2 linked regions of the Caenorhabditis elegans genome follow. The protein of the gene in region 1 interacts with the protein of each later gene in a biochemical or structural test. Each region holds a gene or a part of one and is shown on either strand. Other genes may lie near its edges.

Evidence for each region.
Region 2: the proteins of frpr-15 (region 1) and flp-8 interact in a test that uses a peptide from one of them, tested with the Caenorhabditis elegans proteins (one large-scale study listed by BioGRID).

The regions. Positions count from the first base shown.
Region 1 is NC_003283.11:12,675,819-12,684,539, reverse strand, and holds the start of frpr-15 (G-protein coupled receptors family 1 profile domain-containing protein), read right to left. Parts: upstream 4,434-8,721; 5' UTR 4,306-4,433; coding exon 4,279-4,305; intron 1,198-4,278; exon of another isoform or gene 1,116-1,197; intron 1-1,115.
Region 2 is NC_003284.9:14,877,836-14,884,729, reverse strand, and holds flp-8 (FMRF-Like Peptide), read right to left. Parts: upstream 3,312-6,894; 5' UTR 3,193-3,311; coding exon 3,070-3,192; intron 3,001-3,069; coding exon 2,867-3,000; intron 2,814-2,866; coding exon 2,663-2,813; downstream 1-2,662. Other genes in the region: sssh-1 (UPAR/Ly6 domain-containing protein qvr), read right to left, coding at 6,011-6,114, 6,173-6,256, 6,310-6,394.

The sequences.
Region 1 (8,721 bases):
TTATTTGCGAGTGGGCTTCTAAAGCTGTTAATTAGTAAATTTTAAATTCGCTAAAATTCGAGAAAATTAAGAAAGTTTTAAATTAATACTTGCAGTCCATTTTGAAACTTTATCAAACGTCTTTAACATTCTACTTTCTAACATTCCCCAATATCTGCAAAAATCCTTTTGCATATTTTTTTGTTTGATGCAATTTTGGAACGCTTTCTTTTTTCCGTTGTTGTTCGAGTTTTTTATTAAGGCGTTTGATGGGCGCGAATGCTGACGGGCGAGGGAATGGGAAGATGGATGTCATAAATTGCTCCACCCGTTGAATGTCTATACAGAAATATGAAAAATCACATATCGTTAAGAAGCGAACACTATTCGGAGTGCATCTCTTTGGAATAAATTGTAAGCTAAATAGATATTAGTATTTTCGTAAACTCCCACATATCGCACATCTACTTGGAAATTAAACTTTTTCCTATAACTATGTCTCCTTATACAATTTTTTGTTTTTGCTGCAATGTTCCCAGAATTCATAAAACAATATATATTTGAAATCTTGAATCCCATGTCACCTATTCCAATTTATGGTTGAGGAGTTAAAATCTTCTTGAAATCAGGACACACATATTGAACTAGAAAAATTGAAAATGCGAAGAAGTTCTTGGAAAAAGAGATACGGAAACATATTAAAATAATGCTTCATAACACAGTGAATTAATCAGCACTTGGTTTTCTTGGTTTTGTTTAAAGAAAAGAAATAGATGTATGTGAACACACAAGTCCCGGAAAAAATGAACACAAGAATCCACATAAGATCCTTTGAATGTAAATGCGGCGTAATTAGTTTTGCTGGTTTTTTTCGGTCTCTTTGAATAAATGGGATGCTGTTATGAGCAAGATTTCACAGATTTGAAAGCGATGGGATCTTTTAGCGGAAGCTTTTGGAAGACTTTTTTTTTAATTGAAAAAGAAATTGAAAAAAAGGGGAAGACTTTTACAAGTATTCTATAAACATAAGAGTACACTGAAGTTATGTTTCCACTAGACTGGCACTTGCAAAATAAACATTTTCCGTTTTTCTCTGTTTCCGATGGAAACCACTACCCGGCAATGTTCAGGACACGCGGTCCTGTGGTGTAGTGGTTATCACGTCTGCTTTACACGCAGAAGATCGCCGGTTCGAACCCGGCCAGGACCTAGGTTTTGCTTTTAAGTGATAGTTGATGTACTAGAAAACAGTAATTTTAGAAACGGAAGTATTTTTTACCCCTTGGGGCCAGTTTCACAGGAAACTTGTTTATTTTTATAATTATAATTCATTTGTTTATTAAGAAATTGCTAATGCACCATATTAGATTACTGTAGAAAGTTTACGTGCAGATCTCAACTTTTAAGTCTTTTTATAGCTCATTCAACGCGTTTTTTAACGTTAAAAATGTATTATGAGGTGAACAAATCTCACATTAACTTCAGAAAGTTGGAAGAAACATTAGAAAATTTGGGATAGGCTCGTAAGCTTTCAATATTCTACAGTAAATCATTTTACTAGAATGCGCCTCTAAGCTCTTAAGCTTATAGTAGGGAGAGATTAAAATTTTAAAAAAGAGAGAAAGAAGGTATATGCGTCCAAGCTATTCTAATTTTGGAGTAAAACATTATAATCTTCAAACTTCAAACTTTTTTGTCTTTATTAAATGCTCGTAAGATCAGCTCCCCCGCTGAATAATGGATGTCTGATACGCATGGGATCAGAAGATTTAGATGAGATTAAAATTCGTGACGATTTTTAATCTATTTTTGCACATCCCTCAACATCTATACATTTCGACAAAAAAATTTTACCTTATGGAAATCTTTGAGTTTTGGTATGAGCCTAATACATTTTCCACCACAATTTCCTGATCAATTTCTCAAAACGACTTGTTGTGATGTATCCCTTAATTACGCTCATATTCTTTTTAAAAAATGCCTTCATGCTCATTTGATCTATGAGATTTGGTACGAAAAAAAAGAGGAAAAACGAGAAAGTTGTACCTAATTGCTTGTCGTTTGTCACGTCACAATGATACAAACATGTACGAATGAATGAAGTGAGAAAAGTACAGTTGAAGATTTGAGAAATATTCAAACTAAATTTACGCGGTCAAAAAAAAGGAAATCGAATCAATGCAATCTGGAACAAATGCGCGCGACACAACACCATGTCGTCGATACAGGTGAAATTTTTGGTAGTGAGTGTACGTGTAAGGAAATGAAAAATTGAAAACTAGAAACATATTATATTCACCTGCAACTCTAAGACAGGTTAGAAAAACATTTAAATGGAAAGTGTCGAGTGTCTAATTCAAAATAAAAATAGGTTTTTCACGGAGTTTTCAGCGAGAAACTTTTCGATTCCATGGCATTTTGAAGTGGGTGACCAGACTTCTCGAGTTAATTTTATTAATATTTTGTGACTTATAGCTTCGATGAAAGTTCAAAAAAAACACATGTTCTGTATGAAAATAATGTGTCGTTTTTTCAAGAATTAGGAAATTTTAATTAATTAAATATTATTTAAAATAAAAAAAAATTAAATGAATTACTAAAAGAGAACTTCACTTAAAAACTACTTACATAATTTATTCTATATTTTGTTTTCTTTTTTCCTATAACGTTTTCTGGTGTTCGTTGAATTCGTTGAATTAATTAAAACAAGAAAAAAGAATGACCTATAACGACCAAAAAGCTTTTTCGATCATTAGAAGACTTATTGGTTCCGAAGTTCTTTGATTTTTTGAAAAGTGACTATATCAATTGTCTTGATTTTGAACTATTATTAAACATTCCAAAATTGATTTAAGAATGTGGTAGAAAACTTTGAAATCCAAAATTTACCACTGACCTTTTCGGACTGAACTGAACTTTTCATAGTTTACTTCCGACACAACAAAAAGAATAAAGACCATGAAAATGATCACTGTGGTCCATAATCTTTCCAATTTGTTCGCTTTGCTTAACAGTTGCTCATCTCGTTACCACTTTTTCCCTCCCTTCTATTTTAGGAGAACATTCCTTCAATTCGGTGGCAAAAAAAATAAACGAGCAAATTTTCTGCTAGGAAGTCATTTTCCTTCCGTATTCTCTCCTCAAAAAATGGTGAATGTCAATGCACACGTGATCCGGAAGGAAACCAAGGACAACCTTCGGTAGTATTGGATTTGTGATCTACCACTAAGATACACTTGGACATTTGAAGAGGTTAATCCTTTCTTCATTTTGAGCTTTCACCTTCCTGCTGCCAACTTTTGGAAACAAAATAAAGAAAGGCTTCTTCCTGGTGCAAGAATAGGATGTCAGGACTCAAATTTCATGAATTGAGAAAAAGAAGGGTCTAGAAAAAGGAAGGATTGTGTGCAAATAATGGTAGAGATGAGTTCAAAGCACAAAAGATCAAAATCAAATCAAAAGGTATATTGGGGATAATTCTACAATGTAAAAACGTATTTAATAGTCTGGGCCAAATCCACAGACTTCATGTGTAGTCTGCGGACGGAATTTGCTGAGAATGTAGAATCGTAGAATAGTTGATTGCAGACCATTTTAAACTCTGACCTCTGAGTCAGTTTCCCCTCACATTTTAATCTTCATCAAAGATTGTTACGTCACACGCTTTTCTGTACAATGCAGATGGATAAAATCAACATGGAAGCTTAGCGCCATTTCTGGAGATCAATTTGAAAAAGGAAACTCTGACGGTTTGTCAGCACTATTATGGCTATTTCACAGTTTTCTGAAACGTCGCCTTGAATGCGCATGGGTATGTTCAAATGGGTCTCACCGCGAGAAAAAGTATGGTTTGCCTTTTTTATCTAGTCAGCACAAGGAGCGTGACAACGGAAAAAATTCCCGGGCATTCGCACCTTTTACTACCCGCATGTTCCTTAATTTGGGATTTTGTGTCACAAACACAAGGTTTTTATAACTAAAAATTAAAAATTAATAGTTTTCGTGTTTACATGACTAAAAAAGATCATAAACGTTTCACATGTAATGAGAATGAATTTTTGAAATATAAATTTACAACAAAATGTAGGTTTCTAACTGAGTATGGAAAATGCTATGCGGTGCAAAAGGCAAACGTAATTGTAGAGTAGGAACTGAACACAATTTTTGTTGAATGTTTAAAAATACTTTTCAATTTCTTGAGAAAAAGGTAACAGCTGCAAAAATCAAGCAACAAAAACTTAAAAGTGTATAAAATGCCTCATAATGTAAATTATTATTCAATAAACTATAAAAACATACCCTTAAAATGGCACGATTCGAAGTCATTTTGATAGCTCTGTAGTGAATCTTCAAATTCTCACAAATTCGTTTCTCTGAAATTGAAAACGTTCCGATTTGAAATTAAAAATCAAAGATAGAAAAAAAGGAAATCAAGATCTATCGAATGTTTGTATTGAGGTAAGTGAGAAAATTCTTTAATCAAATGCAACGATCAGAGTAGCGATTTTAGGATTTGATGGAGATGCTCTTAAAAAAGAAAAGGAAAGCAGGAAGGAAGGCGGGGTGCTCTTGTCCACGAATTACTAATGGCAAAAAGAAACAAGAAGGAAATGGGAACTGACTAACGGATAACGAAGATCAGAAACAAAGTAGACTTATTGTTTTTGACACTCATTCTCCAAGAATTTTCATTTTTAGGAACTCCAGCGTTTCCAATAATATAATCCTTTTCCAGCATATTTTATTTTAAAATTCCACATTCCTCACAGATGTCATTAAATTTTTAAATTTTTTCGTAAACTCATTTTTCATTTTCTATGATAAATATATTTTCAACTTGAAGTAATCATGAAAAAATAAGATATTTATCATCTTTTTGTGACGTAGATCATATATTAAAATATATTCACTCAAATTTCGAATGACTTCAGTTTGTTAAAGACGTTCGGATGTTCCATTCATCAGACCCAAAAAAAAGACGATCAAATAAGCTAATCAGCAGAATAGCTTTTCTCGGGAAGTATCTCTAAATTATTCTAGGAAGAGATAAAATACTTTAAGGCAACAAAACAATTGGTTTACAAAGTATGAGATTTTTTCGTAAGAAAAATGAGTGACTGGTCAGTGAACTAAAAAAGAAGATATGCGTCAAGAGCAATTAGGGAATTGGGAAATAAATGTGCACAAAAGTTCAGAGAAATCAACGAACTAAAATTAGAAAGGAATAATCAGGTTGAAAAGTCATCGAATGAATCATAATAGTCATTACCTTCACGAGTTTAAAAACTTAAAAAGTCAGACTACAGCAAAAGTATTTAAAATTTTGAAACAATTCATGCAAGCTATTTTGAGTTGTTTCGACGAGCTATTTTGAGTTGTTTCGACGAAACTTGGCACGTAGTCTTTGTTTATACACATACATTCAATTTTCCTATTTTAATATTTAAGGGTCTAAAAATTTGTTTGCAAACTCTATGATATTTTTAAAGAAAGTGGGCAAATTTCAAAAAGATAATGCCCATATATTTTTAGAGTTTAATTTTAGAATTTTTAAATATATCCACCGCAAATTATATTTCCAATGCGTCAGAAAATCCAGGTCAATAAAACAAGAAATTGTAACAAATCAGAATTTTTGTATTGAATCAGAAAGTAATAAATTCAATTTGAAATAGGAATCGGTAGACAAACTATGTTATATTGAATCCTAAATGATATCATAACACAAAACAAGCATATTTTATTTCCTAACTTCTTATTCAGCATGCTTCTTCTGCCAGGCTGACTAAATGATGAGCTCACACGTTAGGGTAACGGAAAAATTATGATTGAAGATGTAGGAAAAAAGCTACAAATTAGAGAATCTTTGCTCTTTGTCAATTTCCTTGCAAGCCCATAATCTTGAATTATAGCCTAAAACTCTGAAAAACAAAAAAATAAAAGTCATTTTCAAATACTGAACATCCAAGCTGTAACCGGAAGAAAATATTATGAATGAATGAAAGAGACAAAAATTGGGAGTGTCAAGACTTTGAGGCTCTACGTAGGTTCTTAAATTATTAAGACGTTTAGACAAAAGAGACGATGAAACTGAACTTCAACCGATGAAAGAGAAGCATGTGGGAGTGGTAGAAAGAAGCTTTGACCTGTATGCTTTTGACAATACTAGAATGTATTGTTTTCAAAATAGAGGTCCTCAAACCGAATTTTCTTATGGTGAGGACGGCTCGTCGGATTTTTGAATTTTCTAGATCTTTGCAACACCTTTGAGGAGTTTGAAAGTTTTCATTCTTTGAAAGTGAATCATCATAATACATCATAAATTTCACACATATTTACTAGTCTACATTTTTTGGATAATAAAGGACTGTCAATAAATACAGGGAAGTGAGAATGATTGTTTCCAAGTTTTTAAAGTTTTTGCTATAAATAGCTCAAACTGAAATAACGCTTTATATGAAAATCTTCAAAAGACTCAGGATAACCCAAATTTTATGCGACTTCCTAAATTTTTTCAAAACTTGTGGCACTTTGAAATTTTGAAAAAAAGATGACTTGCCGAAAATATTCAATTTTGGTCAGCCGTATTCGTACATTTTTATTCAATTACACTCATATTTAACACATGTGTGAACATTTTTCAAAAGTTTTGGAACTATTTTACATTTTTAAAGCAATAAAACATTAATAAAACAACTTCACCTATAATTGGAGCATTGCTTTTTTGAAACATCTACCATTAAAATGAACAAACAAACTGTTAAAACTTTCATTCATTTTCTATTATATTCGCAGTATAGCAAAAAAAAATGGGCATAACATTTTTTCTCTCAAAATGAGCTCATGTAAATTTTGACGAGCAAAATAAATGAACATTAGGAAGAAAAATATCAAGGAACCTGCGAACGTCTATCAAAAAAATTATTCATCGAGATGAGGATGTTTTTTATTATGTGGTTATTCAAGTAATGCCGGAAAATTAAAAAGTGTAGAACAATTACGTCACAAATGTATCCAAGTATACAAAAACATGTATTTAAATACATTTGTGACGTCACAAATGTATTTAAATACATTTTTCTACATTACTTAAATAACCCCATTAGACTTCTAACTGAACAGAAAAAGCTGAGATCACCCAAATTACACTTGGATGAATTAATCTTGAATGAAAAATACCTGGATACTTTGAATCCTAAAAAAAAGAAAATAATAGTTCTGCACTAAATCAGGAAATAAAAGTCAATAGTTATTTTTTTAAAGGATATTACAGTACAATGATTCATAAGTTATTTTAACATAAATCAGCCTCATTCAAATATGCCGAAAAAGAACAGAATCACATTTCAAAATACGGAACTGTATTTTTTCAACAAAAAAAAATCAAGATGCCTTTACGAGTAGTTCTCACTTAATAGGATATATCCTACATATATATGTAAAATTAAAATTATTTGAGATATTTGAGACCCAAAAATCTGCTCAATAGTATACACGCACTCTGTGATACATTTTCGACTTTATTTTAAAATTCCATACTCTAAGTCCCGCCGCGAAAACTATAGTAACCCAGGAGAAGTGCCTTCAGATGGACTGGCGGGAATTTGGATAACTCAACGTAATCTCTCTCGTTGATTAATTAAAAAAAAAATCTAAACCGAATGAATGAAAACATATTATTAATAAAAACTGTATTTTTGAGCTGACTCCACAACTAATCTCTATTAAAAATGAGGATTTTTGATGAAAAGAGGGGTTGGTCATTGTTTTTTTGAAATACCAAAGTTCCGTTTAATCTCTGATGATTACCTACAACTATTGTGGATTTTTCAAGTTCACACGTATTTTGCAATTACTACTAATCCTTGGACATATTTATTTTTCAAAAGAATTTCAAACAGACGAACTATAGACGGAGCATGGAGCACTTTTGAGTTCAAAAGTATCTCGGAAGGAGGCGTCAAAGGGTGTCCAAATGCTCAACGAAGCAGAATTCAAAACGGAAATCGGATTTCAAAAAGCAACGGAAAAAAACGCAAGATATTGAGAGAACGATCTGTGTTTTATTTTGCAGAAACTCGTTCAATTCGATTTTACTTTAGAAATTCACTTTCACTTTTTGTTTCCAAATTTTCAATAGAACTGTGAAAAGGGAAGTACTCTCTTTTTGAAAAAGAGGTTAAAAGGAAGTTGTGAAAAAAAACAATAAGGGCCAAACAATAGACACGCAATTTTAAAAGAAGAGGTAAAGCACAGAAAAAAGTTCGATCAAAACCGAAAATGGGAGGGGTAAATAGTTCCACATTTTTCGTGGTTTATGCTCTATTCTAAGTTTTTACATTCAATGAAATGGGAATTTCTGAGAGGTCATAGTTAAAAATATGAAAAAAATGAGAAGAAATTGAACACTACAAAAGTTTTGAAGTGGTTCAGAGTATCAAGAATGTCTTCAAAAAACTAATAACCGAGAAGCTATAAGAAGTTCAGAAGAAGAAAACTTCTGTCTATCTGTACCTCTATTTGAAGGCATGCTACTTTTATTGTAAATTAAAAGTCCTGCATAAAAATTAAGACTGTGAGAAAAGTAAGGGATATAAAATGAGTTCCAAATAAAGAAATCTTTAAAGAAACCAATAGGAAGTTCCTAGAAGTTCCTTTTGTCTAGTAGCTAAAATAATGAAGAGAAAATATTATTTTGATTTTTAAAGATGGAAATTGGACTAGAATCAATCCACAAAGGTT
Region 2 (6,894 bases), on another chromosome or scaffold:
TTCTAAAAGAGAATATTGGAATTTATTTTCTTATCATGTTTAACATAAATTCAATCCAGAAGATAAATTAGACATTTCCGCGCGGTTACGTTTGATTAAATGATTTTCCGTTTTTCGCTTTCTAATTTCTTCACTTAGTACTTTGCCATTTTTCAACAATTCTTAAGCAAGTCAATAGACAGATTTAGTTTGGTCAGAATTTTGTCTGTGTGTTCATTGCGGAAAAAATCACTAATTTTCATTAAAAATAAGAAAAAAAATCTTCTATCTTGTGGCATCCGGAAAGTTTGAAAAGAAAAAAATAAAAGAACAAGTTGTTTCGTAGAAAAAATATTCGGGATAGATTTTATCAATTCTCTGTATTTGAAGTAGATGTTTGATGCTATTTGTTAAAGGCGTTCTTGTAAATTTTGAAATAGTTAAGAAAAATATATGTTTAAAGTTTTAAAGATATGCTTTAAATTTTCAAATTGGCAAAAGTTGCGCTAAACTCGAAAAGTGATTCAACTAAAATTCAAAGCTGTTTATAAATAAAATTCATTTTTAAATTATTGATTTCAATATACATAAACTCTTTGCTTTTTGACACATTAGGAAAGTTTACGTAACACATTTACGAATTTGAATTTCTTTATCGTTAAAGCCAAACTATTAAGTTACAAACAAATTGTAAGATTTTTAATGGTCCTACATTAATAAGGAAATTTCGTACAAATCACTTTTTTCCAAACTTAAACATTTCTATATTTCTCGTAAAATTTAACAAAAAGAATCGAAAAGTTTAGATCAATCGTAAAACTCGCAAAACATAAAGCAGTAACGAAAAAATAGTTGTCCTCCTCCTCCTCCTCCTCCTCCGAGAGAAAAATCGTGTGCAGAAGCAATAGCGTGGCCAGATTACGTGGTGACGGTAGCGGCGGGCAGTAGAAACTAGCTGTCAATAGGACGGTAATTGTCTGCCATCATCATCGACTAAAGTGCGACTAATGGCAATAGCCCATACCTCCACCACAGCTGGTCAACATCTCGTTTATCCTGTGTTGCGAACATTTCCGAAATTCTTCGAAGCGTCTTGAGAATTTTTACAACAATATAAAAGAAAAGTATTTCAGGGATAATCTTCCGTCCTCAAGTGTTTGTTTTCCTAATTGTTTACCAGATTCCGCTTGACTAATTTTTAGTGAACTGAAAATTAATTTGCACTGACCAAGTATTTCTGCTTAAAGTATACACCTTGAATTTAAATTTTGCCGTTGACTATATCGCCCAATTTTTTTTTATTATGGCAAGCCATTCTTCACCGAATTATTGAGTCATCGGACTAGTTTCGGAGGTGACGAGGCATGAGAATAAGAAAGTTTCGGCTTTCTTTTTTATCCGTGGAAAGTGAGATCCAGAAGAAAAGTGGCGGAATTTCAATAACTTTGAGATGACGCATTATTACGACAACGAAGCAGGGGTTTTTTAATTAGAAAATCTGAGATGAACTTACTTTGCAGATAGTAAAAATAAAGTTTTAAGGTATAAAAAAGGATTAAAGGATTAAAAGACGATCCCTTCTTCAAGTGCGATGCACTGCGGATCTAGGAGCCAGGTACACTGCCTGATGGTGCTCCTACTGGGCTATAATTTAAGCCACGTCCTAGCCGGAGACTGTGGCGGAAAATCCAGTTATGGATTGCTCACCTTGCCAATGGAGGCTGGGTGAACCTAGGGAGTGAGGCCGGACTTGAACTCGTGACCTCCAGATTGCTAGCGACCACCACTACCGACTGAGCTATCAAGAACTTAGTAGAAAACGGTAAGCAGTTTTGAAGCATTGAGAATTTCAGTTTAGTGGGAACTGAAAGTATAGTTATGTGTTTTAATTTAGAGAAAATTCTTGAACTATCAATCGTGAAACTCGGCTGAAGCCCACTCCTATTTTTGAATGTACTGCAATAGAACCATCTTGATTCTAATTTTCAAAAAATCTTCTATCAAAAACTATGACGCCAAAATTATCTTGTTTAGACTTCTTGAAATCGCTTGGCCCCATCATTTGTCAAGCAAAAAAAAATCACAAGTGTCCCACGTTCTCGTAGCCTAGCGAAACATGAAATATGTTGTCTCATTTCAACAAAAAATTTACTTTTCTTCTTCTCACTGACTATACAACATGTTTGGGCCGAGAAAATTGTATCCAAATTGTGAAATATTTCAATGACACAGGATTTCGGATAGAAAGATATACACAGTTTTTCCTCGAAAACCGGTCTTACGTCTGTTTGATGCGCGCGCCCGCAGGGGGATCATGCGTACTTGTAAGCAAATTTGAATACGATGAGTGGTCATACAAAGAAAAAAAACGGATTTGGTCATTCGGCTGGGACATATTATGCAATTCATACATCAAGCCTGTGAATATCCAAGTCTTGTGAAAATTGAGATAAGATGGAAAAAAAAAGAAAAAAAAACCAGAAAAACAATGAAAGTTTATTCTAACTGACGTTTTGCAGAGATAAAAGAAAAAAAATTAGCATGGAGAATAAGAAATCTAACAAAACATTATCAGTATAGAACACAATTTGGCCCAAATCATCAAGAAGCACACATCCATCTCTGAACGCGAATCACCCGAATCGAATGAATTCGTTCTTTCGTTTCTCCACTGCAAAACCACTTACAGATAAAATACATCAGAGGTGTAACCGAAAAACTCACTGGAAACGTCGTTGTCGTCGAGTCCAAGTCCCTTATCGGATCTTCCGAATCGGATGAACTCATTTTTTCTCTTTCCAAACCGGATGAACTCGTTCTTTCGTTTTTCCATTCTGAGAAAGAAATGATATTTGAAATGACCGACAAATACCAAATATGTACTAACCCGTCACTGCGTTTTCCAAATCGGATAAACTCGTTTTTACGCTTGTTCATCACCGGAACTTCTTGATCGTACAGTGTGACATCTGTCTGCTGCATCACCTCCTGCAAGGCTCTTTGGACGACTTGCATCTCCGCCTGCAAAACATTTTAGATTTTACAGGAATAAAAAACCACTTTGGAAACTAAAAAAAATGATCAACATACCTCAAGATGGCAAATCCGGAGTCCGAGTTCCTTCTCATTCTCGGTGGTCAGTGCGGACACATCACAGCTAGCGTTGGCCGATATGGCGAGTACAAAAATAGAAAAAAGGACTCCGGAGAGCATTTTCTACTTGAAAAGTGTGGACTGAGCACTGCTCGTGGCTTATATACTGGTCCGTCTTCTCCACTAACTTGGGCTCCGCGCACTTTGCTCCGCCTTTTCAGAGGCCACGCCTTCTTGTGCTGAAGAAATTCTAGAGTGTCCACTGGAAGGCGTTTGGTAAAAGAACGCGGGGGCATAGAAAACTTGAAATGGTAAATTGCATAAAACAAGTAAGAAACAGTAAAGTGCTTGTTCTGAGATTTATCTGAAATTGATTCATCGAAAAATTAAATTTACTCCGGTTTTAAAAGTCGTAAGACAATAAACGTGTCTTTGAGAGCAAGTTGATTCAAATTTTAAAAATTTGCTGAAAATCAAGTTTCGAAAACCAACGATATAAAAAAATTTTTTTTTAAAGTTATTAAAAATTATCTCATTTGAAAATTTATTGTATAAACCAGGTTATCTCAACTATCAGGTTAAAAACCGCTTTTTAGGTAAGAAACGTTATCTACGAAAAAACAAATTTTTCCAGATCAAACTTTAGAGTCATACAGTACCACCAAGAAAAATTTTAACATTTTGACATTGTTGTAGCAATTCGTTTGATTTGAAAATGGAAATTTCTCGAAGCTACCCTCGTTTTGAAAAATGAAAACAATGCATATTTATATTTTTGTGTCCTTATTTTGTTTTTTAAATTTTTTTAAAGAGGCCCACTTTACGTTTTTGTGTGTTTTCTTCTTCCTCGTCTATCTATCAGCTGTATAACCGAGCAGTCGAGGGACTGAACACAGTGAATACACGGAATTCATGCTGGGAGGTAACTAACAGATAAATTTAGCCACCGACACCCTCCGAAACTAATTATACCAACTCTATGCATTTGTAAATTGTTGACGTAACACTTGGACTTCTCCTTCATCTAATTCTTCAACTTTTTTCCACCTCTTCTCGGGGGGGGGGGGGGGGGGTACTTTGAAACCAAAAACTTATCCACCGCGCAAATTATTCATCACGAATCAGTTGCTTCCTCGATGATTCGCCTCGCAAAATGATTTCACGGCAATCTCTTCATAAATCTTGCCCTCCAATCATTGAATATTCATTCGAGCAACATGAAACTACGGTGAAGATTGCGTGTATTCAAAGTAAAGGTGCCCACATACTTTTTGAAGAGATCGTCCATGACGAAAATGAATTCATTTAAAGTAGAGTAAAACAAGACTTTTCAAAGAGAACAAAATATCAAGGAGTTCTTATGTCAAAATGGGATGGTCAAAAATGGAAGTCTAATCATTAAATAGTGAATGTCTTGAAAGTCAGTCATCTTATCCTGCATTATAATTATGTGCATAATAAGTGAATTTGCTAGTTTATCACTCCGCCATTGTTTAACAGTAGTCAGTCAGCTTTTTGATTATTTTCCAAAAGTATTCATTCATATTTACAGTGAATATTTTGAAAAATGTATTGTCCTTTAACTATAATTAATGTTGAAAAAATGTAAACCATTCTGTAAAAAGTTGATAATAATTATTAACTGCTCTGAACTTCTCGGAAAGTTATATATTTTCGTCGCCTCGCTATTTTACTAAAACCTTGACTGAAAATTAAGAAAAACTGGAAAGTTTTTGTACGGTTTTATTTTGATATGCGGCCAGCTTGAAACAATATTTACGTGTTTAAACAAAATGTATTTATCTTTAAATATAAATACAGTATTTCTTTTTTACTTGCACCACCTATTGAAAATCAACCCTGTATATTGAATTGAAAAGCTTCCAAATTATTTGATAATTTGACATTTGATAATCACTTTCCGCTTTGTTATATGTAATCTCAAAATTTTTCTTCCGCTATCAAAAATATGCTCGTTTTACTTTTTCTCTATTTTATCACAACATAAAAACCGATGAACGATACTGTTGTGACCGCAAATGTGAGAAGAGGAATCCAAAACACATACACACAAAAATAGTGACGAACGTAATTTCCAATGCATGGTCTTAAGACGGAACACACATAGTTTTTGGCTTGAAAATGTCAAAGAACTGTTTTTTTTCCTGGAAAATGGAAAACAATAAAATTATGGGAATTGTTTCGGAGTGGTTTCCGGCCCATGAGGTACTGATAGGAACTAACAAAAGACTCTTATTTAATTAACTCATTTATTACGAGTGATTCAAGGGGAAAACCTTGAATCACTAACACTCAACATTCATTTAAACGTGCCACCGTCGGGCACGTGCTGCGGTGGTGAAGACCGATGAAGACTGACGATATAGGCCAATGTGCGCTGCGCCATGATGACAAGAGTACGGTCGCAGTCGTTGTTGTATGTGTCGTGGCGAGACCTCATGCGCCTTGAATCGTCCTTTTGGCGGTAGTTTGAATCGGGGTTTCTGACGCCGTCCTTCTGCATGGTTGTTGCCGTTGATTGAAGAGATGATGTTGAGTGTTGAAGAGCAAGTGTTACGTAATAACAATGAATCAATCTTTACATTTAATCATTTGTTAATAAATCCTTAGATTTATTAATAAGTCGTGAGCGAGTGAATCTTTGTATTCACCGACTTCGTGACAGGAATATTCAAAATAGCGAGCTGAAGTTCAAGGGTACTGTTCGAGGAGTAAAAAAAAATTTGGAAATTAAAAACACTTTGGCTATTCTGTGTTCCTTTAAATTTTAATAAACATTTCCAACAACGTAAAAACATTTATTTGGTATGCAATCAAAATACTTCGGCAAAAGTTCTATATAAAACCGATGGAAAATGAAAAGAATAGAGATCTAAGTTTGATTTGATTCCGATATGTAGGTTTAATGAACAACTCATCATAATAATAACACAGCTGCAGAAAACATAATTATTAGTATTAGATTTAAATTGACGTCATTGTTGCATAAATTACCATCGCATGTGCAAACTTCAAGGTTTCCTGAAAGTTATATATATATTTTTTTTTTATTATATGGAACAATTTGAATATTACATACCTTCTCCACTAGTAATTTTTGTACAGTCTGATCGGATTTGTTCTTTTGCATTTGGTATGCAACTTCTCCAAACATGATTGATTCCTAAAATAAGTAAAAAGAAAATAAAATAAACAATTAATTTTGATCTATCTCACCGCTTTTTTCCTGGAAAATCATTTTCATGCAGACTCCATTTGAGCACTCATTGCTGCGAACTCCATCACGAAGAGCTTGATCAACCTGGAAAACTGCTCATTTTAGAGAAATATTAGCCGAGTTAGCCGGTCGGCTGAAATTCGGCTAATGCGGCTAACTTTATCAATTTCAGATTTTTTTGTTCATTCAGCAAGATTTTCACTAATTTTGTGGGTTATCAAGTAAGTAAAAACAATTCACTTGATAACAGAAACAAAAAAACGTACTGAAAGCAATTAAACAATAAAACTAGCCTACCCTAGACAGTCCTGCCCAGAGCCTAGACAACCCTACCCCAGACCCTAGCCTACCCTAGAAGGCACTACCCCAGCCGACCCTAGACAGCCCTATCCCATAGCCTAGACAGCCCTACCCCAGACCCTAGCCTACCCTAGACAGCCCTTACCCAGACCCCAGCCTACTCTAGACAGCCCTTACCCAGACCCCAGCCTACCCTAGACAGCCCTACCCCAGACCCTAGAGAGATGCGGGAGGCGGAGGGCTACCCTAGGCAACCCTAAGCAGCCCTAGCCTACCCTAGGCAA